4 separate regions of the Mus musculus genome follow, and all the other regions are reported to be linked to region 1. Evidence: microRNA targets listed by miRTarBase, many of them from high-throughput screens and not tested one by one. Region 1 holds a microRNA gene; each other region holds the end of a gene's coding sequence.

Evidence for each region. The annotated mature microRNA mmu-miR-669n reads AUUUGUGUGUGGAUGUGUGU and lies in region 1 at 3,898-3,917, opposite strand. An mRNA with a match to its seed (bases 2 to 7 or 8) in the 3' UTR can be bound and repressed. Matches are read on the target gene's strand: a 7mer-m8 pairs with bases 2 to 8, a 7mer-A1 pairs with bases 2 to 7 and ends in A, and an 8mer does both.
Region 2: miRTarBase lists Npr3 as a target of mmu-miR-669n. Seed matches in the 3' UTR shown: 7mer-m8 at 3,678-3,684, 7mer-m8 at 4,243-4,249 and 7mer-A1 at 5,606-5,612.
Region 3: the mRNA of Man2a2 is a reported target of mmu-miR-669n. Seed matches in the 3' UTR shown: 7mer-m8 at 3,399-3,405.
Region 4: miRTarBase lists Mctp2 as a target of mmu-miR-669n. Seed matches in the 3' UTR shown: 7mer-m8 at 2,734-2,740, 7mer-m8 at 3,397-3,403 and 8mer at 3,440-3,447.

What each region holds. Positions count from the first base shown.
Region 1 is chr3:115,976,699-115,983,821 of GRCm38, reverse strand. It overlaps Mir669n (microRNA 669n), which reads right to left and starts at 3,920; the gene lies at 3,867-3,920. Slc30a7 (solute carrier family 30 (zinc transporter), member 7) reads left to right here. Exons shown (of 11, transcript NM_023214.7): 7 at 2,010-2,060; 8 at 5,043-5,178.
Region 2 is chr15:11,838,737-11,845,859 of GRCm38, reverse strand. It overlaps Npr3 (natriuretic peptide receptor 3), which reads left to right. Exons shown (of 8, transcript NM_008728.2): 8 at 572-5,964. The coding sequence ends at 683. Among named protein-coding and RNA genes, the nearest start is that of Npr3, 63 kb to the left of the region's middle.
Region 3 is chr7:80,346,074-80,353,196 of GRCm38, forward strand. Man2a2 (mannosidase 2, alpha 2) reads right to left here. Exons shown (of 24, transcript NM_172903.4): 22 at 7,089-7,123; 23 at 6,853-6,960; 24 at 3,024-5,778. The coding sequence ends at 5,626. Hddc3 (HD domain containing 3) reads left to right here. Exons shown (of 4, transcript NM_026812.2): 4 at 1-24. It also overlaps the pseudogene Gm18310. Among named protein-coding and RNA genes, the nearest start is that of Hddc3, 6.5 kb to the left of the region's middle.
Region 4 is chr7:72,074,410-72,081,532 of GRCm38, reverse strand. Mctp2 (multiple C2 domains, transmembrane 2) reads left to right here. Exons shown (of 23, transcript NM_001024703.1): 23 at 676-3,703. The coding sequence ends at 744. Among named protein-coding and RNA genes, the nearest start is that of Gm36696, 33 kb to the left of the region's middle.

The DNA.
Region 1 (7,123 bases):
CTGAAGTGTAGTCGTGTTAGCTGTGATCGCTCCAGTGTTGTACAGCTCTCTAGGCCTCATGCATAGTGTAACTGAACCATGTCCTGTGACAGTTACTTCTCCAACCTCCAGCACCTGCAGAGTGCCAACCTCCTCTCTGTTTATATGTGCTTGACTCTGTTAGCTTCCTCATGTGAGTGGTGTCTGGTCTTTATTCTGTTGTATCATTTCACACGCCTTCCAAATTTACCCATGGTGTCCTAAGCTGCCCTTCTTTAAGAGAGAGCGGCCTCGTTCATCCATCAGGCACTCGTAGGTTGCTTCCGTGTCTTGAGTACGGCGTGTTATGCTGCAGTGAGTGGAAGTGCACCTGGATGCTGGGATCTGGGTCTCAGCTCCTTTGGCTGTGTACCCAGAGCTGATGCTGGTGCTCATGTGATAGCTCTGTGGTCCTTGTTGAGGAACCGTAGGCTGCTCTTGTAGTGCTTATGCCAGTTTGCATTCCTACCAATAGTGTATAAGGATTTCCTGTTCCCCACATGCTTGCCAGTACTATATATATATATATATATATATATATATATATATATATATATATATATATATATATATAAATAAAAATAGCTCCGAGTCTTCCTAAAACTTCCCTTGAAATTTTGATTTGATTTCCCTGTTTAGTACTAGTATTAAATACCTTTTAGTATAACCACAGAGCATTTTTCAGTCTGACAAAAATTTTCCTTTGCATTGTTTGAGTCCTTCATATATTTTAGGTATTAACACTCAGACATACGGTATTTAGGTATGCTCTACACGCCTAAGATTACTGTTTCTTTTTGTTCTTCCCTGGCTGTGCAGAGGCTTTCTAATTTGCTGTAGTATCCCTATCAGTCAGTTTGTACGACCTCTTTTAACCTGATATGCTATGTTTTGAAACAGTTACACTGGCAGGTATAAAGACCTTGTTGGGTTTTTTTCAACATTTTTGCACACATACATTATGCTAAAATAATTTTGAAATATTGCTTATCTCTCATAAATTTATAAAATAATTTCTGAAGTATTATTACAAATAGCAAAGAGTATGATTCTGGCACATAATATTTTAATTAATTAAATAATTAATTCATGTACTTGATTTGGCCCTTTGAGACAGGATCTCAGTGTGTGCTCCTGTCTGGCCTGGAACTCATTACATAACTTCAGGTGGATACAGTTTGGTCTCTGCCTCCTTAGTGATGTGTTTCTTAGTGGTTCCTTATAAATAGTATTTTAGGGTGAAACTTGTACACAATTCCATTGAACATTGTCCTAGTTTGCTCTCTGTTGTGATAAAAACACTGACCAGAAACAACGTGAGAAGGAAACCCAAGTCTACACTACAATTCCAAATCTCGTAGCTAATGCCTGCTATCTGAGACGTGTGATCTGAGCTCCGATAGCCTCAGGTCTCCAGCTTTCTCATCTACAGCACACAGCTTGTTTGTCCCCTAGGCTCAGGCCGACTCCCCTTTACACCTCTTACTGTCCTTGTCCCACAAAACTAAGGATGTCCCTTCATCATAAAAGGCAGGATTTTAGTGAAGTGGCTGTCTTCTCTGTAGAAAGTAGTCTCTAAAAGCTGTAGTTCCACAGCAACCTGCTGTCAGTCCCGGCTTCCGTTCACAGACCTCATCAAAGTCCACGTAGTAATTTCATTCTCTGTGAGGTTTCCAGTTATGAAAGTACTAGGAGGTATTTCGTTAGTACAATATTGGTAGATTTTTCACATTTTTAACTTCTTGTGAGTTTTATTTCTAGTACAATAATTTCTAGAATATTCTATATCCTTGTTACATTTCAATATTGCCCTCACTAAGTTCACCTATATTTAATTACTTGATTAAATTTAAAAAAATAATTGTGTAAGTCTAATATGACTGTGTGCTCATAGTTCCATCATACAGTTGAGCAAAAAGAACTCTGAGTTGCAAACATTTGGATCAGGAATTGAAGAGATGTTTTAAAATAATCTAACTAATTCTCTACAGATGGCCCATCCTTCAAAGCAACGGCAGGACCCAGCAGACAGATTTTACAAGGTATGACAAGCAGTTGTGGCTTTCTTAATTTCATGAAGCTGGCTTCATGGTAAAGTTGCCTGGAGTTCTCTTTTAAGGAAATATCTGTAGATGGTAACAGTATTGTAAGTGTTATCCTTCCTAATAAATGCGTGCGCGCACATACACTCACTCACACATGCACACTTATACTTTGTGTTAGGTATATTAGCGATATTTTGCCACTTGTCTATTTTCTCAGATTTAATTTTAAAAATACAAGAAATTGACAACCCCGGCTGAAGGTAAGTACTGGCCTGACTATCGTGAGTCCAAGGTAGCGTGTTCGCTTCCCTGGATTATTACAGTCATGAGTTCAGGGTAGCCTGTCTGCTTCCCTGGATTATTACAGTCGTGAGTTCAGGGTAGCCTGTCTGCTTCCTTAGATTATGACAGTTTTTCCAAGAGTAACGTTCAATATGTTCTTAAATTGTAGAGCTAAGAATGAAGTCCAGTGAGACCTTTCTCATCTGTGAAAGCATCAATTACTGATACCTAAACAGGAGCTTAGTGTTCCGTAAGTGACAGCAGCTAGAGAAAACTCTGTCTCTGAACTCTGGTACTTTCCTCTGGGTTATAACCCAGTCTTTCACAGTTTCCCCTAGACTGTATTGTCAAAGCTTTTAAGTTCTAACCTCCCTGCTCCTAGCTTTTTAAAGCCGACGTTGGTCTGGTTTTCTCAGTGGCTCCAGATCTAGCCTCTCCTGCATGTGTTTTGTTCTACTGCTTCTGGGTTGAGTTCTTGCTTCTTGTGTTTCTCCATTACTGAAGAGATCACTATACTGAAGGCTTAGGCTGCCTTCTGTCACCAGGTTTCCATTTTCAAAATATATGGCATTGCTTTTAAAAGCGTCTTTGTACATTTTTGACATAGCCGTATGAAGTGCTATCATTGGCTTTGATAATAATTTGTATTTAGTTATGAAAAATCATCATAAATGGCAGGAAGAAAAGCTCGATGTACCCTTTTATTCCTATTTCTGAACTACATGAGTTTGTTGGTCTCAAGAGGGCCTGGAGGAAGCTGCTGGGCAGCTGTGACTGCCTGATGTAAAAGCTCTGCTACCCAAGAGCTCTTCGGACACTCAGCACATGAGCCCCTCCAGCTAATGTGGCTTTCAGTTGTTGGCGCATCTTCAGCTTAGTGAGCCAGGTTTTAGATACGTTAGACCATTGGTGTGTTGCAATGTTGGAGGGTCTCGATCTTATGTGACTTAAACAGACTTTATGTATTTCCTCAGAGATTTTTCTTCATGAATAGTTACTATAAAAGAGTAATGATGTGTGCTAATGAGACCCACTTTCTGGTTAGGATTACATGGAGGCAGGGACTTTCCAGCATCAGAAAAATGAATAACAGATTATTTTCACCATTTTTTTTTCATTTTTATTTCTGTTCGTACCAAAACACTAATTGGAGAATATAGAAACTTAAAACTATGTTATTACATTTAGGAGTTTGTAATGTAGGGATTTCAATTGTATTGATTTATATCCATCTTTTTCATTTTTTTTTAGTTTTTGAAACCAAAGTGTTTTTGATACATATATATGTATATATATATATTATTCTTTGGTATTTAAAGTACAATAGAGAAGTTGGTTATTTACAAGTATTTACCAGTGGAAATACACATTTCATTTTTATCTGCCCAAATGAATACCATTTGTTACAGAACAACTCAGGGCTGGTGAGGTACCTGTATAAGGACACATGCAGCCAAACCTGACAGCCTGGGTTCAGTCTTCAGGCTCCACGTGGTAGAAGGAGTAAGCCAATGCCCTCTGCACATGTGCTGTGGGATGCACATACATTTACACACACATCCACACACAAATGTAAAGATCTGCAGAGTGGTCTGCACAGAGTGAAAGGCCCGAGTGCCCTTTGCTGCGCCCTGCTCTAAGTCACACGGTGGCAGGGGAAGTGTCTTTTCCCAGCAAACGTTAAGATTTACTGTGACTCAGTAGTGCTCAAATTTTAAGCTGCTACAAAGTTTCCTTCAGTTTTAATTGGCACACATTTACCTTTGATCGTTCAGGGAATGTGACGTGAATTTCTAAGCTGGTCGCATGTCTGCCATCTTAACCAGTGCCCTGCAGGGCAGCTGTGCTGAAGGCCGGTGGTTTATGGCTTTTCTTTGTTTTTGTTTTTATTGGTACCTATGTTTATAGATTGCTTTGCTGTGTGATAAATTTTATTTATTAAAGATCTACATATTGAGTGAGTTACTGTCTTAGGTAGTTTCAAAAAGAGTTGCATATATAATTTCTTTCTTGAGATTTTTATGGTTTTCCAGGCCAATATCACTTATGAATCTTAATAGTCCTATATAGTCCTTAATAGTCTACTATGTCCTACTTAGTACTTAATTTCAAAGGTTCAACATGTATTTTCTTGTCCTAGTCAGGTAACTGCTTTTTTGCTTGGTGTATTTGAGGATAATAACAAATTTAGGTAGTGGCATGTTTTGGATAATTAATGTCAGGTTAAGTCGAGTTAGGGTTCATATAAAATTTTATTCCTTAAGCAGTATTTTAAATCACCAGCAGAGGGCTCTATGTGTTCATGTATTCAAAATTAAATTGCTTTCTTCATCTTTTTTTTTTAAAACCTGATGCTCTTTTCTTTCCAGAACAAATTATTTAACCTTTTTTAAAGTAAGAGTGAATGTTCACAGACAGCATTTAAAACTAATTTTCTCTACTCCTTCACTTTCTTTTTCTTTTTTTTTAACTCCTTCACTTTCACTGTTCTGTTAAGATTGAGCATAATTTACCAGTTAGATGTTTAAACTGGTCAGTATGAAAACAGTTATGTCAGTTTATAAATATTCTGCTACACAGTTACTACTGTACTTCTCCTGACTGATTTTTTTTCCTTGATATGTAAGATATTTTAAGTATAGTCCTGAGAAATATTCCCACTTGAGTATTCTAATCTCTCCTATGCTTTCTTTCTAGGTGTATTTTTACACATTCTAGCCGATACACTGGGAAGTATTGGTGTAATTGCCTCTGCCATCATGATGCAAAATTTTGGGTTGATGATAGCAGATCCTATCTGTTCGATTCTTATAGCCATTCTTATAGTTGTAAGGTAAGTGGTTCAGACTGCTACCATCTGTTACTAAGTGAGAGGGAGGTGACAACAGAACCAGTGGCTGGGCACCTTCAGTGCAGATTATCATGTGGGGTTCCCTTTGCTCTTTAAAACAAGTCCTATCCAAGTTCTCCTTATAGCTTTTCCCATTTATATCTTGCCTGGAGTTTTAACATTTCTTTTTGATTTTTGACATTTAAGTAGTTGATCATAATTCAAATCTTAAACCATACACTGTATGTATAGAATAAAATCTTGGCAATGTAAAGTCATTAACTAGACGATTTTAGTTTATATCTAGAACTGACAATGTCAAACCCTGGTATCAGTGTTGCCCCTGCCAGACCCATCTTTAATTCTGCCATTTCATTGGTCTTTTCGCTTGCTCACCAGCCACGGAGCTGGTGGTCTATGAAGACTGTAGGGAGGTCCATCTGCAACGACCACTTGCTGCAGTGCATTGTGTAGTTAATATTATCTTCTAAAATCCTTTGTCCTAAAACACACTTTATTGTTGGCTTCATTTTTATTTTAAAACACTAGAATTATATTCCTTTATCTTGCTGCATTTGATCATTTTAAATTTTGCATAGTGTGTCTCAGTTGGAGCATTATCATCTCTCTGTAGCTGTCCTGTCAGCAGCAGCAGCAGCTTTTGTAGGGAGATGAACGCTGGTGAGAAGTAAGACCGCAGACTTCATAACTCAGTGTTGACGAGGATTGATGGAATAGATTGCCATGGGATTGCAGTGTTAAAGTTAGAGGTGGTTGTTTTTCAGTTTCTGCCCTAAGAATAGACATACATTTTAAACATGCAGATTATTCTTTAAATATTGGCACAGGGATCCAGCTGGTGTTTGGAAGCCTTTCTAGAGCTCAGAATTCCTTTCCCTCATCTGGAGGTCTTACCACACTCCCGGGAATTAGCTTGGATGTGACCACTTCCTGACAGACTTGCTCACTTCTGTGACTACCTGTCTTGCCGTGGGTGTTTCGAGGGCACTCTGTTGTGTTGTATATTATAGTGTTAGTTGCCCCTAATGGTTATTTAAGAGTATGATCGTAGTATTTCCCTTGCTCTTTCTCCACTCATTGTTACCAGAATTCTGACCACCGCCATTGTTTGGTGTGATGACCACTTTGTCCCCTCTTGTCATGCTGCAGTGACATTTCTTTGATGCGGATTATGTGATATACTGCAATTATCTTATCCTTTTCTCACTCTTTCTCTCAGAATAAAATTCATAATCCTTAATGAGACTTCCTGATATTGTTTAATTTTGTTAATCCCCCTCCCTCCATCTCTCCTGCCCCACCTCCAATCTCTGTCTTCTCTAGTGAGTCTTTTCTTTTCAGTTTCCTAACTATGGCAATAAGCCCTCCACATTCCTGTTCTTGTCTCCTCTCTCAACTCTTCCTGCATTTAATGATGCACCTTTCCCCTCAGCTCTCTAGATGTGTGTACCCCAAGTCCACATCCTTCCTATGAAGTATCCCCCTTCGGGGAACATTTCCTGATTTGCCCTCCACACTGTGTGGAGTTTCCCTGGAGCACCTTCTACCAAAGCCCCCTTCCAAAGCATTTAGCCCTCTGTCCCGAGTCTGCTTATGTTTCTCTAGAGCTCTGTGGGGCAAATTGGTGTCCTGCTATGATAAAGTGACCATAGGGTCCTCCCAGCAAAGGAACTGGCACACTTCAGATTGGAGGTGGAAAAACTTAGGCTTTTTCACCCTAAAGAGTTATAGATTTTCTATTTCCAACTTGAATTGTTTTCCTTGTTATCTTCTTACTCATTTCTTATACAAACAAAAAATAAATAATAGATAAATTCATGCGCACACAATGAATTTATCTTGCCACAATGTCTAATACATTTTTTAAAAATTATATACCATCTTCCACAAGTAGCTTCTTTTGGCTCTAAGATCCCTACTATTTTGA
Region 2 (7,123 bases), not on the chromosome of region 1:
TGTTTAGCTGCCATTGTTGTGGCTTAAATCTCATAAACTTTTAATTATGCGCATGTGTTCAAGGTTCTAGTCGTTTGCTGCAGCGACAGTGGCCCGTCCTTTGGTAATCTTCAGTGGTTGAATTCATGGGGCATTGTAAATCATCATGGTTTATTTGTAATATTTCTTCACTTTTGCATTGGAGATGTAAGTCTGGGTGTATGTGGCTCTTTGTGGGAACAATCGTGTTCCTGTTCCTTTGGTCACAGTACATTTGGTCTGATCTTTATCTGGGGGCACATCCTGGGAGTCAAGCAGAGCTTCTGGGGCAGAATAGATAAGACTCCCAGGGAAGAAGGGGAAGGCTTGTTCTGTGGCATTTCAGAAAGCATGCCAATTTTTCTCCCTGAATAAGGACACGATGCCTTGGGGGTACACGACTTTAATCTCAGAACAGGGTTTCATATTTGTGTCACTTGTCATTTATCAAACCTAACCCAGATGTCCCTGGAGGGCACTCTTTGTAAGAGGAACCATGGTGTTTTACAGCCGAGTGAGGTTTTATTATTACATTTGTTTTGCTTTTACCCAGGAAGAAATACAGAATAACCATTGAGAGGCGAAATCAGCAAGAGGAAAGCAACATCGGGAAGCATCGAGAGCTGCGAGAAGATTCCATCAGATCACATTTTTCGGTGGCTTAAAAGAGATGCCCCTCTCGCTTCGTCTACTTGAGATTCCTTAAAGAGATAGATGGAAGGACAGACATCAACGGAGCAGAAAGGGCGTTCTCGGAGAAGTCATTCTTTTAAGCAGTAGTCATTTCATTTTACATTTTCTTTAGAAGCTCAGGAATGATTGTTAATCACTATCTGCCTTCTGGCCTCTCATCTCATGGCAAACTAATATAATGAAACAACGCAATGCTGTTAAGTGTTCTGGCTGCTGGAGGGGCATCAGAGGAGATTTATGTCTTGAAAGTCTGCTGCGTCCATATCTTGATTGCTTTGGGGGCAGTTCACACGAGGATAGAAAAATGTGGCTTTTCTGAAATGAAATGTTTCGTAGCTAGGATAAAACAATTTTTACAAGGAGAATATTCTTGGAAAGAATTTAACACCCAATAAGAGGACAATGGAATGAAAGAAATCTCCAGGCTGGGAATGCAGTGCCCCTCTCTCTGGAACTGGGGGACAGGTTTGTGGTTGATGAAGGCTGCGTCCAACGTCCACATTCAGGTCTGAATTCATATCTCAAGAAAGGATCCTCCCTGTCTCTTTTAGTGTCTCATCAGAGCTACTCTGGAAAACTGTAAATATTAGTGAGCAAGGAGGATTTATATAAGAAAATTGAGTCTAAAATGCTTCTTATACGATGTAAAAAAAGTCCTACTTCACACTAACATTTTATTTTTAAGTATTTTAATCTTATATTTTGGTATTAGAAATGTGTCTATTTTTTCATTTTGAAGATTAAATTTCACTTATATTTTAAGAGCACGGAGGAGGTGTGTGACAAATCTGTGGAGAGGGAGGAACGGTTCTCGTTTTCTCTGCTGTCCTCTGTCCCTTGGCTGTCTCTAGTCTAACTGCTAGTCTGGCTGAAGATGTACAGAAGTCTGTTCAGCTTACAAACTCTGAAGGAATACGTTGATGTTAAGCCGTTGTTCATTTTCAACTGTTTTAAATGGATGTTATTGGAGGGCTACATTCTTTCTAACTATGGTCAAATGATGCCCTTCAAAACCAGTAGACTTAAGTGGAGTCTATAAAGAAACACAACCCCTTTCCCTCAAGAATAAGCAGACAGTGAGAATTTGACAGCAAGACACAGTGGTGATACGTTTAAAAAAAAACTGCATGCAATTTATCAAAATTTGAGGTGATGATTTTAATTTAAAAAGGGAATGTTGATATCTGCTGTGTCCCTTTAACCTTATAGAGTTTTGCAGCCACCACAAATGATGCATAGCTTGGACAGTGAGCTAGGACAGACAAGGGCATCGTGGCTAAGACTGAGCCAGCCTTTGCTGGGTATCCTCTTTGCACTCAATCCTGGGTGCAGAGGTTTCAATTCTGGTTCCGACTTTATCATTTGAGGAGAGAACAAGGGTACCGTCTTGTAATTTTGCCTTTCTTGGTAACATTCTGAGCATCTGAAACCCAGCTTAAAGGGGGGAAATTAAATAATTTCTTGGAGGTCCTATCCATCCAGGTTAACTGTGGAGGAGTCCAAGCAAGCTTAGCAAGCTCTGGAAGCTGGCTTCCCAGGGAAGGAGTGGACCACACCTCATTCTCTCAGTGGAGTCAAAGTGAATGGGCTGCACCTGTGTGGGGCTCAGGAAACGGGATGCAAACCGCATGATAAAATGAATTAGCTTCTGAACAACTGAAGGGGGTGTGGTAGGAGGTATGTCGTGGTTCTGCCTGTGGGATATTGAGGGAAAAGTGCTGACTTAAAAAAAAAAAGTAGGCCAGAAAGGCAAACTTTAAAATGCTAATCCAGGAGGCGCGTTTGTGGAGCACAACTCAGGAAGGCTGCAGCTGATGGTCAGGGACTCACATAATGAAGACAGATGGGCAGACTGCATCCACCCCAGTTCTCAGAACCAGAGGGCTGCTTGTTTCTCTCTTACATTTTCAATGATGTTTTCCCTGTGTTTCAGAGATACTCATTTTTTAATGTTTTTTTTTTTTGAACCTGTGTGTTAATTGCAGGAGGGTGACAGTGGGAAAAGTTCTCTACCTGGCTATATTCTTTGGGTATGAATATGTCTAATCCTTTCTTGAATTTGTATAGTTTCCCCTTGAATGTCAGCATAGTTACAACAGTATTTTTTATTTCTGCTCCAGCTAGAGGAATTGTTCCAAGGTTAATAGTGGATCCCCAGATTAGATGTTAAAGAATAGATTAGATGTTTAAAAAATAAATAGGCAGGGTGAATCGTGAAGTCCCTGGAGTCATTTCCTACAATTTTAAAGCAATTCTTATTATATTATTATATTATTATTAATATTATTAAGGTTGATTGCTCATTTACATGCCTGCTGTATAGTTTGTCTTTCTTGAATGTCTTTACATGGCTAGACAAGGTGGCCCATGTCTTCAATTCCAGCACTTGGGAGGCAGAAGCAGGAGGATATCAGTGAGTTTAGGGCCAGGATGGTCTCCATAGTGAGTTTCAGATCAGCTGTAGTTACACAGTTAGACCTTGTCTCAGAAAAAAATAAATCATTATATGAGTAGCCAAAATGTCATTAAGTTTTAAAAACACCACCAAGTTGGGAAACCTTTGCTGACAGTATAGATGTCTGTTCCATGGTGGCTCTGGGTTAAAAACTCTTGGTATTGTATTGTAGAACTTAAATTCTTAACTGCTAAGCAACAACTTTGACAATTAGTCATTCATAATCTGCCAGTAGTCATCTATTATATAATTAACAAAATGGAACTTTAGTTCTTAAGCCATTCTATAAATTTTTACTCTTAAGTCCAATGATCAAGGTTTCAAAGGGGGGGCATTTCATTAGTGTTTTTTATATCTTGTCAAATATAAGTTCATACACAAGCTAAACTAAGCGTATACTTATGGTGATGGAAATAAACACAAGTTTTATAGCCAATATTATTGTCTTAGATCTGGGAGAGAAGCTGAACTCAGAAACAAAACTTTCTGGGTAGAGTCATATCTGTTCCCAACACAAACAGAGGTTTCACACGGAATCCGTCAACATGTATTGTTTTGAAGAGCCATTGGCGTGTCTTTTCCTGAACCACAGACAGAATTCCACATGTCTTGAAATAGTTGTTTACATTTCAGAATTCATGGAGGAGAGGGAGAATCCTATGGAATGAGAACAGATGCCCCACCCCCACTTCCTTTTTCTCTTGAATGAAAAGCTTTGGAATGCCAAGTCACTTCCCCTTGCTTACAGGCATCCTGTGCCTTTGCTCCTGGCACATCTACCTTCTGTGTCCCTAACTTACCTCTTTTCTTCTAGTTGGGACTGATTGTCAGGGTCTAAGACATGCAGTGGGACGTGGAAAGGGAGGCCTTGTGTATCTCAGAGAGTGGTTTCAGAAGCTGTTTCTAGTGATGCCATTGCTTTCTTGAAACAGAGCTACTCGTGCAGGTGTTTTAGATGCGTCACAAGTGCGCGCGCGCACACACACACACACACACACACACACACACACACGAAAAAAGAGAATGAAAGAATAGCATTTATAAATTGGAAAACACTAGGGTCTGTGTTTGTTGAGACACAAAGAGCTCAGATCCCTAATAGGTGCAACTACAAAGGCAAATGCCAATTGAACTTTGGCCCACTACCTATTTGTGTAGTTATACCCTACAGGTCTTTAGAAGAAGGCTGGTAATGAGCTGAATTTTTCCTTTAGTGGAAAAAACAGAAACTGTCTAGAAATACAGGATGCTTTAGGGGCAGCATAGAAGTAGGGAGAACGAGCCAGAGGCACTGGAGGGATCTGTCTATTTTTCAGTTGGTCTTTAGAACAGAATAATGAACAGTTTAGACCTTCTTCAAAAGCCAGTCTCCACAAGAAGTGCTGGACATGCCCAGAGAGAAGAACCAGGAGCTTATGTCTCTCAAAGTGACAGAGAGAAGAAGTTTGCAGCTGACACGGGCTCAACTGTTCTTCATAGAGCTCCACCTGCTATCCATCACATTTCTATGGGTGTGCTAGCACCTTTCCCATGCAGGTGGAAACTTGTGAGGAGGCCTCCTCATTTACTCAGAGAAAAAAGACAAAATCGCACCGCTGTGAGGAGGTAGCTGGCTTCTACTCAGAAGCCTGACAGCAACTTGACCATGCATGTCCTTGGACAGTTTACATCTGTGATTTTCATGTACGCGAAGGAACCTGGCTTTTTTCTCAGCATATGGATTTTTCCGATGTTTCCTGCAGGCCTATGGAATGAAAATACTCCTCCAAAGGACACTGAGTTGGAGGTTGTTCAAATATCGCATTAACCACTAATGTTAATTCATCCCAAATGCAGAGCATTTCCCAAATGCTGATGCTGGTGTTTCTGTTTTAAGTCACTTCAAAGGTAATCAAAAGGATTTCAGTGGGAGCTGACTCTCAGAGGTAAAAATAAATATGTTACAAAAACTCTTTGGTCTATCAGGTATCATACGATTCCTAGTGGAGAGATTTGAACCAAGTAGACCTCAGAGTTAATAAAACATGTTCCATTTCTTTGATTCATATTTAAAGGCATAAATTTATATGCACAGGACCAGGAGGTCCATTTCCCCAAGTGTGAATCATAATAGGATACCGAGTTCATTTTTACTTTCTAGAATAAAGCTGTCATAGTCTCTACTTATTATTGGGGAGAGAAAGAGTTATTTCTCCAGAGAAAGAGGAAACCATGGCTTTTGATGGACTATCTCATTCATTACTCAGTGCCTGTGTCTGAACGTGTTCAATATGGTGTAGCATAGAAGACAGCAAGGAAGTGCTCTCAATTGGCCAAAATCGGAGCCTTCTTCCCTGGGCATTGCTGAAACCAAGGGGCTGTGAGCTAAGCATGGCAGAAGGCCAGTCCCTCAGCCTGTGTCTTTTGAGCCATTTTGTTCATGGATAATTTAAATATGACCACAAAACAATAAAAACGTACCATGAATCTGGTAGAAGAGTCAAAGCTGCACCAGCTACATATAGCTTCCTATTCTAATGTAAGTAGAACTGTCTGCATATAATGTGATTTAATTTATTGTTGTTCTGTGTAGAAAGTGAGGACTCATGACTGTGGATAAAGCCCTGTTTTGTATAATATATATATATATATATATATATTTTTTTTTTCTGGTGCAAAATTGGTCATTTAAGCAATCTACTTCATTTGGTGTTTGGATAGAAATGTGCGCGTGTTCTTGTAAAGGTTTCTATTCAGCAAGAATACCACATAGCCCAAATATAACAGTATGTTCTCATTAAACGTATACTCTACAGAAACAGTTTCCTGTCTATAATTCAACAAATATGCACTGCATATATCCAAGTTTTCTGAGGATTTTCTGTTCTCTTAGATAAGCTGAAGTAAAAGATCAGTTATTGGGGATGATGTATTTGAATGAAATATTGAGTCCACGAAAGGACTCAAGATTTTCTGCTCCACAAAAGGAAATTTACAGAGATTGTGACATGTCATTGGAATGAGCGCCAAACCCAGAAAATACTGACTTATCAGGTAAAGGAGGCATGGAGAATAACCCCTCTTTTGGAACCTGGGCATCTTTTTCCCCCCATCTATTTATTCACTTTACATCCCTATCACCGCCTCCCACCTGTCTCCCCATCACACAGTCCCTCCCATGATTCCACCTTCCCCTTCTCCTCTGAGAGGGTAGAGCACCCCCTGGGTATACCACCACTTGACATATCAAGTCCCTGCAGGGCTAGGCACATCCTCTTCCACTGGAGCCAGACAAGGCAGCCTAGTTAGGGGAATGAACCTGGGCATCTTGAGATATTACATGCTCCAGCTGATGTCATTGATTCATGTTATTGTGTTCATCACCCACAGTACAGAGAAATTCAGTCCTAATTTGCAAAGAGCTCTCAGGCTTCTGTGTCCTAGGGAGATTGACCAACTTCCAGCATTTCTAGCTTCATCTGGGCTGCAAGAGGCCATCTCAATCTCTGGAAAGTCACATATTCTTATGCCTGAGAAACACATAGTGATTGGCATGGCTGAAGCAGTGTCCCCTTGGTCCTGATGCCATAGTCATGGAGGTCCCTGAGTGAGGCCACAGGTGCTACATGCACTGGGAACATGTTTGAAGTGATGCTGGAGCAGGATGTTGATTGGAGTGAGGCATCATGGGAAGGCGTGGTAGGGATGAGGGGCAAACCTGGAGATGACCTCTAGGAAAAGGTATTCATTCTTGCTACTTTCCCATCCATCTCTAGGGCCATGGATTCCTTGATTCTTTCCCTCTCTCCCTTTAGCTCAGTCCCCTCAAAACACGATATTCAGCCAGCAACTTTTGACAGGCCAAGGATGCCTTACTGGGATAATGGGTCTATGTCTTATCAAGGATCCCCGAGGAGACCCAGATAACACCGATTTAGGGATGTGACCCAACCCCAAACCATGAACATCTAGAGTTGC
Region 3 (7,123 bases), not on the chromosome of region 1:
AAAATAAAGCACTTAGGTAAAGGCTTAAATTGCTGTTCTTCCTTCTCTGGTCTCCCGAAGAGGACCCACATGCTAAATAGTCATTTCCCATGTCCTTTGGGTTAAAAGCATCAACCCTTGGAGCCTGGCGTCCTTATCAAGTGGGCTGGACTATGTCCTTACGAAGGTCAGATGATGCAGTTGTGGGATGGCAGATATACTGGGAAGGAATGCCACCACTTTCTGGCAACTGACTGGCAAAGACAGAAATCCCAGTAACATGAGGAAGCCTGGAAGACCTTAGTGCTCCAACACCAACTGCAGTGATTGCTCAATGATTCATAGCCGATCCCTGGACCCTTAAAAATTGCTGGCTAAGTCACAAGAGCTTCCGGGTATCCGGAAGAGCGGAAGTCCTACAGTGTGGGTGTGGCAGAGAATTTTCGGGGAGTTGGATTTCGCCCTCTATCATGTAGGTCTGAGATATCCAACTCAAGTTTGTCAGGCTTGGCGGGCTGGTGCCTTTACCCACTCTGCCGTCTCACCTCACCTTCAGAGCCCCTTTTTTTGGTCTGTTTTTGTTTGCTGGAGGGGCATAGGGCCCCCACAGCCATTCTACAATACTCCTGCCTCTGCAATAAAGCACAACCATACCAAGGCTCTCCAGAAGGCTTCTTAAATCTCATTGGCTATACAAAAATCTAGTTTTTACACTGAAGCTAATGTTAAGCTGCACTTGAATTTCCCATTCCTAGAAAAACACCTGAACACATGCACACACTATACACACACACACACACCACACGACAGGGCAGCCATCCTCCACCCTCTTCTGGCTCATTATTTTTTATGCCTGTTGGTCTCTCAAGGCTGGTCCTTCCTGCTTCATTTTTGCCCTTGGCATGGTGTACAGCAATCTTTTCACGCTTTTTGAGTCTAGCTGCTTTCTGCTCACGTGGTTATCTTTGGCTGTTTCGACATCCTCACCCTGCCCCCACCCTGCAGTGTCTCTAATAGACATGCCTGGGTCAGTTTTGGCCTTTGAGTGATATTCAGAGCAAACAGGCAGGAGACAGATGGGGTCTTTAGGAGTTTTAGGGTTTTCGGCTTTCCTCCATAGCCCTTTTGGGAGGGACATAATTCATCTCCAGGGCACAGTGAGCCTCATTGCTTTGGACCATACCTTCAGACGTCAACTTTTCCTTTATGGACATGGTCCTCCATCTTTTGCAACATATTTCTGAGAACTGGAGTCAGGGTGTTTCTTCTCATGCTGATCTACAGAGCAAGTCTGCATGAAGAAGATGCGTAAGAACTTTGCCCCGTGTCTGGTTGGGTCAGACTCAGGTGGACAGAACCACCTCTGCCTGAAGCAAACTTCCCTGAGTTAGGCAGAGAGCCTTCCTTCCCTAGGGTGAAGTAAATGGTTTCCTCTTTCCTTGTTTTATAATGGTTTCCCCCTCCCCCACTAGAGAGAAGCCTGCAAGGCCCAGTCACCTCCCACAGGTTCCCCTGATTTCATTGCACTACAGAGGGACACACATACTCAAACTAAAGCATTCAATGTTCACATAGACACTCCCGGGTTTCATTCTCTAAGGGACTGTCTCACTGGCTACCATCTCTCATCTTCAACTGTATCACAGTTAAGAAGCCCTTCTTGGGGCTGGAGAGATGACTCAGCCGTTAGAGGCTAGGCTCACAACCAAAAATATAAGGAGCCTGTGAGCAGACTATCCTAATTAATCAGGGCAGTACAAAGACCCAGCTGCTCCCGGCAACTGTTTGAACTTTCTTCCCATTGGACCTAAACAAAACTAGTTCCATCCTAATGTCGGAAGATCCCGTCTCTGTCATCTCTCACAGTGTGAGACTTGAACTTTCCGTACATTTTTGTTAAGAACAAATTCAGAGACCTCTAGTTGAACTGTAAGCCTCACCCCTCCACTACATAGTTTATGTTTTCCTCTTTGTGTTTGTGACAGCTAGTGGCTTTTTGCTTGTTTGAGATGGAGTCTCAGTGTTGCTTGAGCTGGCTCTAAACTCCTGGGCTCAACAGACTCCTCCCCTGTCTCCAGAGTAGCTGGACTGGAAGTGTCTGGCTCCCTAACCACCATGACAGCAAGCTAAACTCTTCCAGCTCGGGTTAGAAATGCTGTCTGCCCAGGAATTCCTACTCCTCTTCATGCCCTGGGGAAGGTAGATCCGGACCCTGTCTGGGCCTGACGCCCTGCAAGATGGTGAAGTTCCTCACATTTGCCCGCCTTTCTCTCTGTGCCTCCAGCTGGCCACTCAATCCTCTCCTCCTTATGGAACTGGATGCGTCTCAGTGAGGGAGTCCTTCTCTTTCTGGTGAATGAGGTTGTTTTGTTGTATCTTGGTTCCACTGTAGACTGTTAGCCTTACTGGGGAGGCATCCATCCCTGAGCTCTGTGGACAACAGCTGCTGCTTACCTTAAAACAGTACGCACTCACTGTGCCATTACCAAGAACCGTATGAGCCAGGCACGGAGGCATGCACTTGTAATCCCAGCACTTGAGGGGCTAAGGCAGGAAATGCAGTAAAAATTGGAGGCTAGCTTGTGCTACCTGCCTGGGGGAAAGGGAGGGGAGGGGAGGGGAGGGGAGAAGGAAATGCTTTGGCTTTGGCCCTTATTCTCCCAAGGATTAGTTCAGAGGCTTTACCAAGAGTTGGCTTTTTTCCTTGATCCAGTTACATGTGGCCCTCTGCCACACATCACCTTAGCACCCAGACTGAAGAAACAGGCCTGCCTATCTTTCCAGAGGCAACTCTGCTGACGAACTTTTGAAAGGACACTGCTCTAAGTACTATTTATGTATGTAAACAGCAGCAGGGAGGGCATGGTGTGCATGCCTGTGAGCCTAGCCTGTGGGCAGCAGAGGCAGGAAGATTACAAGTTTAAGGCCAGCCTGGCTCTCTATGGCAAGTCTGGGTTAGTCAGGGATACATTGCAAGACACTCCCAAGTGTGTGTTTGTGATTAAAATTTGTCCTGTCAGACAAGTAACTTCACTGCACATCTCTGACCTCCAAAGAATATTCTTTATTCTGCACAGTTCCCTATCATTTGATTACAAACCATATGGTAGCAAATAAGTCTTGCTGTAGGCGCAACCCCTGCTCTGTGCTAAGCGCTCCCCACTCTTCATCTCATTCCTGTCACCAAGACATGAATAGGAAGCCGTGTGGCCTGAGCCTGGCAACATAAACCATGGAGACCCTGCAAGAACTCAGCCTTGTCACTACTGAGTCTTTGGGTGCTGCTGGACAGACCCTAGTGACGTTCTCTGAGAAGTCAAAACACACTTTTCTCCAGCAGTGACAGAACTCACTGCAGACTCGTTTCCACCCACACAGCTGTATTGATTTAACCTGTTTCCTATAGCATGCTTTCAAGCTTTGTGTGTGTGTGTGTGTGTGTGTGTGTGTGTGTGTGTGTGTGTGTGTGTGTGTGTGTGTCAAAACCTATTTTTTAATGTTCCCCCATTATATATTAGGTTTCATGTTATGTCTAGAAAAGGGTTTCCTAAATCAGGTATAAAAATATTTTTTTCTGCTGGGCAGTGGTGGTGCACGCCTTTAATCCCAGCACTAGGAAGGCAGAGGCAGGTGGATTTCTGAGTTCAAGGCCAGCCTGGTCTACAGAGTGAGTTCCAGGACAGCCAGAGCTACACAGAGAAACCCTGTCTCAAAAAAACAAAAAAATTTTTTTCCTCCCAGGTGTGATGATGGCGCATGCCTTTAGTCCCAGAACTCAGGAGGCAGAGGCAGGTGGGGAATCTCTGTGATTTCCAGGCCAGCTTGGTTTACATAATGAGTTCCAGCACAGCCAGAGGTACATAGTGAGACTAAAATAATAATTAATAATAATAATAATAATAACAATTTTGTTGTTTGCTTTTGCTTTTTTCCCTCTAGCCCTAGGTTGTTTTGTTTTGTTTTTGAAACAGAAGTCTCATAGGTAGGTAGCTGTCTCAAAGCACTATGAAAATATCCACCTCCCCTCCCCTGCACCTGAAATCATATACTGAATTTCTACGTGCCTAGGTCTGTCTGACCTGACCTATCATGGCAGCTGAATTCACGCTGGCAGAAGAGTCCAAGTCGTTTGAGAACTCTGTTAAGACAGCTACTGCCTGTTGCCCGCCTTAGTGTCAGCAGCCGTTCATCACCTCGGCCATTCAGAACTACTTCACATCCTCAGCCTGTCACCTTCCAGATGAATGCCAGGACCTGAAGAGTTCCAGAAAGTGTCCAACCTCGTGGGAATTACACTGATGTTTATGGGTTGATTTGGGGAGAACCAGTCGTTACAGGGCAACTCACAGAATGCCTTGCTAGTTGACACACAGGTTTCTTAGGTAGCTTATGGTTTTAAAACAGTGGCAATTGTAATTCTTGTTTCCATCTGAAGTGTGGGTTAGTGACACCAACACACTGTGCCGCCGGGCAGTTTCTGACTGAGGGGATCAGAGCCTGCTCTGTCCGATGCTTTGGGCGCCTTCGCTTACTGGTGACGAGATCTTTATCCAGATTACGGGCTTCTTTCTAGTCTTGGCTTACTAAGTTTTCGTAAGGATGGAACTTTGCTTTTACCAACTCTTATCATTTATAGACAGATTCTCTATTGATTGAAGCAAAAACGAAGGTTCATCCAAGCACATGACCTCCTAATTTTGTCTCTGCCTTCCTCGTCCACACAGCGGGCAGGTAATACTTCTGCAGGTGGGATACGAGTGAACCTCCTCAGCCCACCAGGGGCCCCAGCACAGGATGCCTTCCCAAGACACCCAAGCACAGCCCTCTTGGAAACTCTGTTTCCATTTTAGAGAAAGGAATCCTGCCAGGATCCCCACAATGGGAACTCGTGGGGAGCCTGGTGTGTGAGATAAGAAAGCAGATCAGGGGGAGACACTCCCTACCCCTGTCACAGATCAACACCAAATGATCAGCTGAGAACTAGTGCTAGTGCCTGAAGTGTTCCGTGGCCTCTGGCCTGGAGTCTGAAGCAAGCCCTTCCTGCACCCAGCAGCCCCTAGCCAGGGCATGCAGGCCCAGTGGCACTCAGAGCAGGCCCAGTGGCACTCAGAACAGAGCCAGAGCAGAAAGCAGCAAAGCCTTTAGGCTCTTAGGAGAACCAGGGACTCCTTCCACGCCTTTACTCCACTAATAATGGGCGCCTACCCCTCTCCTCCCAGAATCACCCTGCTCCTGTACCCTCATACCAGCACTGTGGGGTCCATATGACCCCGCAGAGCAAGCTCATACCTGCAGTCTCCTAGCGTGAGGTTGTCCCCCAGCCTCCCTGACCTCTTCTGCTTGTCCCCACTCTTCCTACATCCCATTTTGGGAAAAGGATGAAGCCTGAGTTGTGCCCAGCTGGGTACCTACTCACAGCCTAGGGCAAGGGCCTCCTCTCCCCTGTCTCTCTGCCCCCGCCGCCTGCTGATGTAAGGACTGTTCCAAACGCAGGAGCAGCAATAGACAACGGAAGGGCACAGCACAGTCTGTCACTTCTGAGGCAGAGCGGAGGGGAGACTTGGTGTGGCTTGTCCAGCTTAGTCTTGGTGTTAGGAGGCAGTCTCTGTGGATGAACCCTGTCTTCAGGCCACAAGAAGCCCTGGCCTAGCCCAAGCGCAGGCGGAAGGTGCTGATCTCCATGGGCTCCAGAGAGATGTCAGTGCTGTTGGAAGGTGAGGCCAGAGGGTATAGCAAAGTCAAGGAGGTTGGCTGCAGGAAGGTCACATCCAGGCCATGGAAGAGGCTCCCCAGGGCTAGCTGTGAAGAGAAAGGGGGCAGGGTGAGCCGGGCGCTGCTAACAGTGGGTAAGTTCTTCCTTACACGGAGTGCTGCCCTTTTGGGTTTTTTCCTTTTTTTTTCTTTTCTTTTCTTTTTCTTTTTTTTTTTTTTTTTTTTTTTTTTTTTGAGACAGGGTTTCTCTGTATAGCCCTGGCTGTCCTGGAACTCACTTTGTAGACCAGGCTGGCCTCGAACTCAGAAATGCACCTGCCTCTGCCTCCCAAGTGCTGGGATTAAAGGTGTGCGCCACCTTGCCCAGCCCTTTTGGGATTTTTTGAGACAGGGTCTCACACTGTAATCCAGGCTAGCCTCAGACTCAGAGCAGTCCTGCCACAGTGCTGGGACTGTGTTGTGAGCCAACACACCTGGATTTCTGTCAGATTCTTAGAGCTAAAATGGTGTAACAGGACTCTAGCTCTTGGGAGGTAGAGGCAGGCAGTTCAGGGGTTCAACTCAGCTTCGACTACACAGTAAGGTTGTATCGAGCCTAGGTTATGTGTGACCTTGTCTCAAAAATAAAGAATAAAAATAAGATAGAGAAATAAATAAATAAATAAAGTAAGAGGGAAACGGGCTGCTGGAAGCCACAGCCCTCCCAGGAGCAGCGAGCCTCAGAGAGGGCACTGCTGCAATCCACTCAAGTCCAAAGCTTGCCCAGGCTCCTCGTAGGAACTCTCACACCACGCTGTGTGAGCTGAGAACAGGGGCTGTTTGGGTTCACGGCTGAGTCACCAGGGCAAGCAACGTGCCAGTTTACACCATGAGCGATGCTCTGAAAAGGTGCAGTGGTTTTTCATTCTCAGGTTTCCCACTTCACTCTGAAAAGGTCTGTCCTCAGGAAACCCGAGGTTTCTAGCCCCATGCTGGTCTGAAATGGCTCCTGCCGACTCCATTACCAAAAGCACAGGCCAAAGGCCTCCCCTTAGTCTCCAGAGAGCCCCGAGGCTACTCCTCCTTTCTTCCTACTGACTGCCAGCCTTCCTCTAGGCTCTCAGCCTAGAGCTCTGCTGTCCTGACCAGGGCCCGTGCCTCCCACACCGGGACCCCACTCACCTTGCCTTGGCTTGTGGTACAGTTGAAGCCCAGGTTCTTGGCTTCAAGGCCACAGTCAAACCCCTTGCGGTGTAAGATGAGCGCAGAGTCAGTTGCGGGCAAGGTGTCCTGGAAGACAGTCAGGGGCAAGGGCAGTGGCGGGTTAGCAGCACATCTGCCAAGAAGGCTGGACAGAGGAGAGCTGGGAGGAGGGCCAGAGCCTGGAGGTGAGGGTTAGCACTGACTGGGACACTCACCTCGGCTGGGAGCATGCGCAGATTGAGCAAATGGA
Region 4 (7,123 bases), not on the chromosome of region 1:
GAGAGATACATATGACAAAACATTTGAATGAGTTTCATCCATGCTTTAGCACTAGTCTCCCTATCCCGTCAAGGGTGCTTTCTAATGACACTGACAGTTTGCCTCTGAGGACATCACAAGTACTCCTGTTTATCACAGATGTTCTCGTTATTACACTATAAGTTAAATTAATTTTAAGTGACATCTATATAAGTTTGGGGCCTAGAATCAATTTCAATATTTGGCCCCCTCTTAGAATAAATGTCTGTAAGATAACTGAGTTTCCCCCTTATCATTGTAGGTCCTTTGAAATGAGCAATACTTGTTTGTTTGTTCTGTCATAACATAAGATCAACAAGTCCAATAGGCAGTTACTGGGTTATTTACAGCTGAAAGCTGGTATAAGCAAGACTAAGATCAGGCAGCAGTGGCAAGCTCTGGAGAAGCCTATAGAAGCCCATTCATCTCATTAGAAAAATCTGCTTTTAATATTTTTGGTTTCAAGAAATGATGCATGACTTCTGAAACCCTTCCTGCAATTAATCCCTCCCCCCCCAGGCCCCATGTTTAGAAAATGATTCATTACCTTTGAACCTTCCTTCCTTTGCTTTGCTGTATCCTTGGGGAGCCATTAACACACTCTGTGGTAAGCTAGGGTTACCCAACTGCCAGCATCATGTCTGTTTGTTTTCACAGGTGCAGTATGCAGAGCTGAAGCTCTGTGGCAGCCACAGCCCACTTCGGAAGAAGAGGAGTACTGTCTAGAGTTCACACAGACTGAGGCCTCCAGCATCCAGTGTGCAGCCAATCAGACCTAGATCCTGGCTGCTCTAGTGGTACCAAGGTGTCCTGAGATATGGATGTTGTGTGCAACCTTCTACTCCCTCTCTGCTTTCTTTACATACCCAGATGCAAGCACACCTGCACACAGGTCCCTGTGCACGGGTATCCTGGATTCCTGGACAACCAAACCATCAAAAGACATCAAGTCTGAGACTGTGGGAGCTTCATATCCATTTTTAGGACATAAAACAAGGTGTCCACATGTCTGAACACCATCCTCGAGGACAGCCAGAAGACCACTTGATTCCAGGATGATGCGGAACTTATTTCAATACCTTCGACAGATTTTCCACTAAGAATCAGTTCTTTCCAGTTGAGGCTGGTGGTTCACACATATAATCCTAACAGGGAAGAGGCCAAGGCAGGACAGTTCAAGCTCAAGGCCAGCTCAGAAACTGTGCTATGTTGGCCTCTAAACATATAGTACAAACTGTCCTAAAACCAACAATCAACAGAGGTTCAGTTATTTCCAGTCTCCATCCCCCTATGTGTTTAATGTTCCTTTTTCCCTCTATCTGCCCTGATAATGTATATTAGAAAATGTTTAGTGATTTTTCAGAATTAACTCAAATATTTAGGAGTCTTTCAGCTCTGATTACTAAAGACATGCCTGTTTATTTATTTTGTTTTTTGGTGACCCTTTAGTATTAGATGCCAGTTCAAATCAAATCTCAGTTGTTGTTGGCAAGGGCCATCCTTGACGGTTCCAAGGAGTCACTCATTAGAATCACCCATTGGAAGAATAAGGGTTTTTGTGATAGTATTATGTTTCTGGAATATGCCATTTCTTCCAACTTCACTTTTTGCTTATTACTACAATGAGATGTTGATATGCATCCTCAGAGCGATGGTGGAGATTGGGGCAGATGAATTAGTGGGTTCTGAAAGCATTTAGGGATATCAAGATATGTGGGGGGGGGCTTACTTAACTGAGACTCTGAATGGAATATACTCATTTCAGTTGCCCGATGTTCTGATCAGATATTTAAAATGTTTTTGCTATCCTAATTTGCCTTTTATTTTTCTAAGGGACAAAATAAGATATAAGACAATAGAAGCTTATTTCAAAATTCCTGTTGATACCAAACAACTACAAAAAAGTCCTCTGTAGATAGTGTTTGAATCCTGAGTACCCTACAACTCCACAGCACACCCTGCCAAGTTTAAAACAATGAATTATGTGCACGTAAAAAAGTGTACAAATATCTTTGTATTAAAATGATATTTAAGCTTTAAAAATCTATATTTCATCAGCATACTTGCTGTGTGCAGGTTTGTGTATGTATTGTAAAGAAAAGCTGAGGTAGGAAACCTAGTTTACTGTGTTTAGCTCCTGTTCTGTTTCTGCATTGTAATTTAATAATCAAACAAAATGTTTTATGAAAAAAAATGCCAAAGATTCTGAACTTTGTCATCTCATGTCTGTTTTACTTCATATTCTTCTTCCTGATTTCTCTGTGGCATAGCCCGATTTCTGCACGATTTGATTTACTTCAAGTTAATGAAGCTGGCTGGAAAGGAGCCTTGACGAGATTCTAAAAGCCCCAGTAAATCTGTTAGTTGTACATACAATAGATACCCGAGAACCTCTTTGTCTAACCAGTTACTCAATCTTCTGTGTAAACAATACCTCATTGTCTTGTTCCTGTCATCCAGTTTATCATAGTCTGTCATTTAGTAATGACCCAAGGCAGACATCTATAAGCCGTCATGTGAGATATGATCAGCCATTGGAATGGAAACTTTTGGGAGCCAAATAACCCCTTATTTATTTAAATGTGGGACCCATCCTTCATGGCTGTTCTTTTCCTTTAGAATTTCTAAATGAAATAATTTTCCCAACAGGAAGGTATCATTAGTGAGACTTCTTTCCTCCATAGCCCCAATAGAACTCACAGCATTACATTCAGGACACAAATGCCAGCTGGTATTTGAGAGCAAGACAGGGCCAACTTTTTCAACACTCTTTAACTGAAGACAATTGGTAGTTGATGAAATCAACATTGCATATAAGAAAATGAGTATTTGTTGGAAGTGAAATGCTAAGATTTGTACTGTCATTATAGTTGCACAGGTCTCATCCTTACATGCCTTGTCTTAGCCCAGGATCTCAGAGAGTGACAAATAGTATAATCTAATACCTTATTCCACCTTAAAGAAGCACCTGTCATGGTGCTGTGGGCAGAACTTCTCTCCTTGTATGCATGGGGCCAGAACTAGCATGAATTTCTTTTTCCTTCTTCCACTGTTTGATATATGAAAGGAAGATTTGTTCTAACCCACAATTTTAGCAACTTCTGCAAGACTTTTCTCTTTCTGAGAATTATCACAATTTACAGTTATAGAAAGCAGTCCTTTGGCATGTCCAGATATGCCAGCATGACAATTTGTATGCTTTGAAAAAAGTATTGAGTAAAATGCATGTTACTAAAACACCACAGCCATAAATGTGATAGCTGGTGGCCACTCTAAAGGAAAAAAGAGCCAAATGAAGGCAAAATTGTCACACCTCTACAGTCCAGCCTCTACAAACGAGTGTTTGGGGCCTGGTTCCCTAGTGACCCAAGATTCCTTACACAAACATCTGGAGCGTAACCCCTAATAATTTACACACTTTACACAAAAGGCCAGTCTTTAAAACATGACTTGTGTTATATGTTAAAACTTTCTCTTTAGCAAGGTACCAAGAAATTCACCTGTTCCTTCAGATATGGGCCAACCCAGAAGTCCCACAATGAAAGGACCAAGTAATTTCTCCTTTGCCTGCAATAGAATAACTTCCACCTGCTTTTGTGACTGGCATGATTTACTCTGTATAGAAACTCACTCACTGTTTTATTGGAGTGTATTTCAATAAATTATATATTTATGTCTTGGTCAATTATTTTATCAGTACATAACTGTCTTTCCTATATTGGTTTACATTGGCAGTTATGACTAACAGGTAGGTAGTATATGCAATGTGGATACTTTGAACGTTGTCTCACATCCAAGACAAGTTTGGCTACAAGAAGCACAATGCAGATCCATTATTCAGAGCATGTAATATCCACTTAATGATTTCGTTGAAATTAGTAGATTACATATTCATACTGTTCAATTTGAAGATAATTGGGAATGTTAAAAATGCCTTGTGAAGTGTTCACAGTTCCCTTCTTAGTCCCACACTCATGTTTATAACACTGCCAAAGGCTTGTCTTAAAGACTTGTCTCCTGAACTGGGGCCAGTGTCCTCTTGGATGTCTTTGGTTTTAGTTTTTGTGCTTTTCCCTATGTAATCTAGTCAATCAGGGAAGGACGTAGTATTGCTTGTATCCTGGTAGCCGTGCTGCATAATATTCCATATGTCATGGGCATGATGGGAATCTCACTGAGCTGGGTTCAGTTCATATTATCCCTTCCATTTGAAATGTCTTTCCCCAAACGTCAAAGTAGATGATACTCTTCAAACCATTCCAGGTTCTCCTGCTCTGATGAGGTCACCAATGACTTTGTGCTATCTGAGTTTCCACCTCCTGCTGCAGCATCAGTGAATTGGCAAGTGTTACCTCTTGTCTCTCATTGAACCACAACTGTCATCATGCAGTTGTTTCATTCTAACTACCGTCCAAGTCCCCTACCTTCAAACAGTGTGTCGTAGCCAATGATTTAAGATCAAAGTTTGAGGAAATGAATTCTAGCAGATACCCCAAAACATCTTATTTACATCAACTGTAGGTCAGGGCTCCCAGAGGCCTTGACCCTACTGTTCTCTACTAGACCTACCAGCCTAAAAGCCACTCAGAAATGCGTGCCGAACAGCACGATCATGGACCATTTGTTCCTGAGCCTTTTTATATGTTGCTTTTTTTTTAAAAAAAATAACAACCCAGAAAGATCAACAGTGTTCATCCTGAACAATAATTACTTGCATGAGGTAAAGCGCTTATTTTGTGTGATATATATGATTTCTGGATATGTCAATGACCAACTATTCAATTGTGCAATGTCTTATATTTGGAGAAATTCTTACACGGCAATAGAAAATACAGTATTTATGAACTGTAAAAGTGACATTTTGATTCTTGTTTCTTGTAATTTCCCAGTTAACACACTGAACACAGATTGATACATACAAGCAAAACAGACAAAATTCCCCTGGTGGAGCCAGATAGTAAATGGACACTTTTTAAGCAGCTAGCACACTCAGATTCAAGTTTCATAAAACTCCCAATCTAGTTGCAGTGTGTGGCTTAGCAACTAGGTTGTGCAGAGAATTCTTCTAAGTCAGTTATAGTGTTCCTGATAAAAGCAAATGGTGTCCTGGACTTTGATATTGCTGCATAGTGATAGAAAGTATAAAAGTCTAATTGGGAGATTATAAGAAATGAGAAATTGGCATGTTCTTGACTGGGGAGACAGCAGGGTTAAAGATGACTATTTGATTCAAGCAAACAAATGTTAATAATTTACAGGCTTCCTTCAAGTCTAGAGAGAGAACGTGGAATGGACACAAAAGCTGACAAAAAGAGAAGTCAAACCCGGACAGCTGATACACACAGAGAGAGTAAATACTATGTCAGATGCTACGTCATTTAACTGCATAATGGCCATTTATGTAAAATGGTTCTGAGCTATTTTTATGTTAATTTGGATAAAATATTGACCCCCCTTATCTCATAGACAAATATCAGTTTAGCAAAAATAAAATTTCCAAATATTTTTAAACATAATTTAAGAAATTTTTTTTTAAAAATTGAGAGCTTATCTCTACTACAGTCTATGGGGAAAAAAAAGTAGAGAATCACGATGTAAGAAGAAAGTGTACAGGGTTGTGGAGAAATGGCGTGAGTCAGTGTTGAAGGTGAGACTGAAGCGCCACCAATGGGACTAACAAGGAGGTAACACAATATGAATAACGTTCTCAGAGTAGAAACACTCCATACCCAGGAGGAGCATACTTCAGGACTAATGCTCAAACTGAGTAAAGGCTTGCTGGGTTTTTTTTTTTTAATGTATCTTGATGACAGCATTCAGACATATAATCATAAGGTATAAATAGCGGGCTGTGTGAATAGCTTATTCGGCAAAGTGCCTGCTGTGTCAGCATGAGGGTCATAATTTGGATTCTTGCCTCCCACATAAAAATAGAGTATGGTGACCCATATATGTAAACTCAAGGCTAGGAGATAGAGACAGGAGAAAACTTGGAATTCAGGGGATAGCCAGTCCTAGAAACACAAATGAATTAACACCAGATAGATTCATTGCCTTGATTCCAAGTGTAAAGGTGACTAGGGAGAGTGAGCTAGCTCAGCATAGAAAAGTGTGTGTTGACAAGCCTGGTGACCCGAATTCAACTCTAGAACACACCATGTGGGAGGAAATATCCAACTTCCACAAGTTATTCTCATCCCTCCACATTTGTAGTGTGTCACACCTGGGCCTACCAAGCCACACATAAAATAAATGAAATGCAGCTAAACTGTAATAAAGGCCAAAATTAGAGAGTTCCCGGGGTTGACCTCCAAACAGAAACAGAGAGAGAAAGAGAGAGAGAGAGAGGGGGGGGAGGGAGGGAGGGAGAGAGAGAGAGAAGAGATATGTTATCAAACAGAACACAGGTATGTCCAGTGAAGTCACATCAGTAGACAAGACAGAATAATATCTATAGGATGACATGGACCTTGGAGGGGGATCCTGGTATTCTATGGGGTGAATACAAATCTGGTTTGAACTGAGGAGCAGATGCAGCACAATTGGACATCTCAGTGGAGGAAACTGAGAGAGAAAGGGGGAAGTGATTAGAATCAAGGATGATTCTAATGAGGAAAAAAAATGTCCTAAATTCAATATCCAGCTCTCTGCAGGAACCACAAAAACATTCATACGTTTAGCAGTATTAGCCATGCTAAGTATCTGAAAGGATCTCTGGTCCTGCTTGCCCATCCCACTTACCTGCACACTTTTGGAAACAGAGCAGCTGAAAATCCCTCCTGAAAGCATGTCAGGCAGCTGATGGATGAACCAAGAAATGTTGGCATTCTAAAGCAATCATTTAAAAGGGGCTTATTTTGCATGGTGTTTGCTACATTCCCCTACATGGAACGTTGGTTAATCTAGGACATAAAATGGTAACATTTTAAGGAACATATCAGATGCGAGTGAAGTGCTTTAATAATAATAGACATAATAAAATCCTTTGGATTTCTCTCTAAAAGTTAAGATGGAAAAACACCAATCTTGTACAAGGTTGCCTAGATTATACACAGCTAAAGGTCTAACATTTACCCACATGTCTCAAAGAAAGTATCATCTTCAT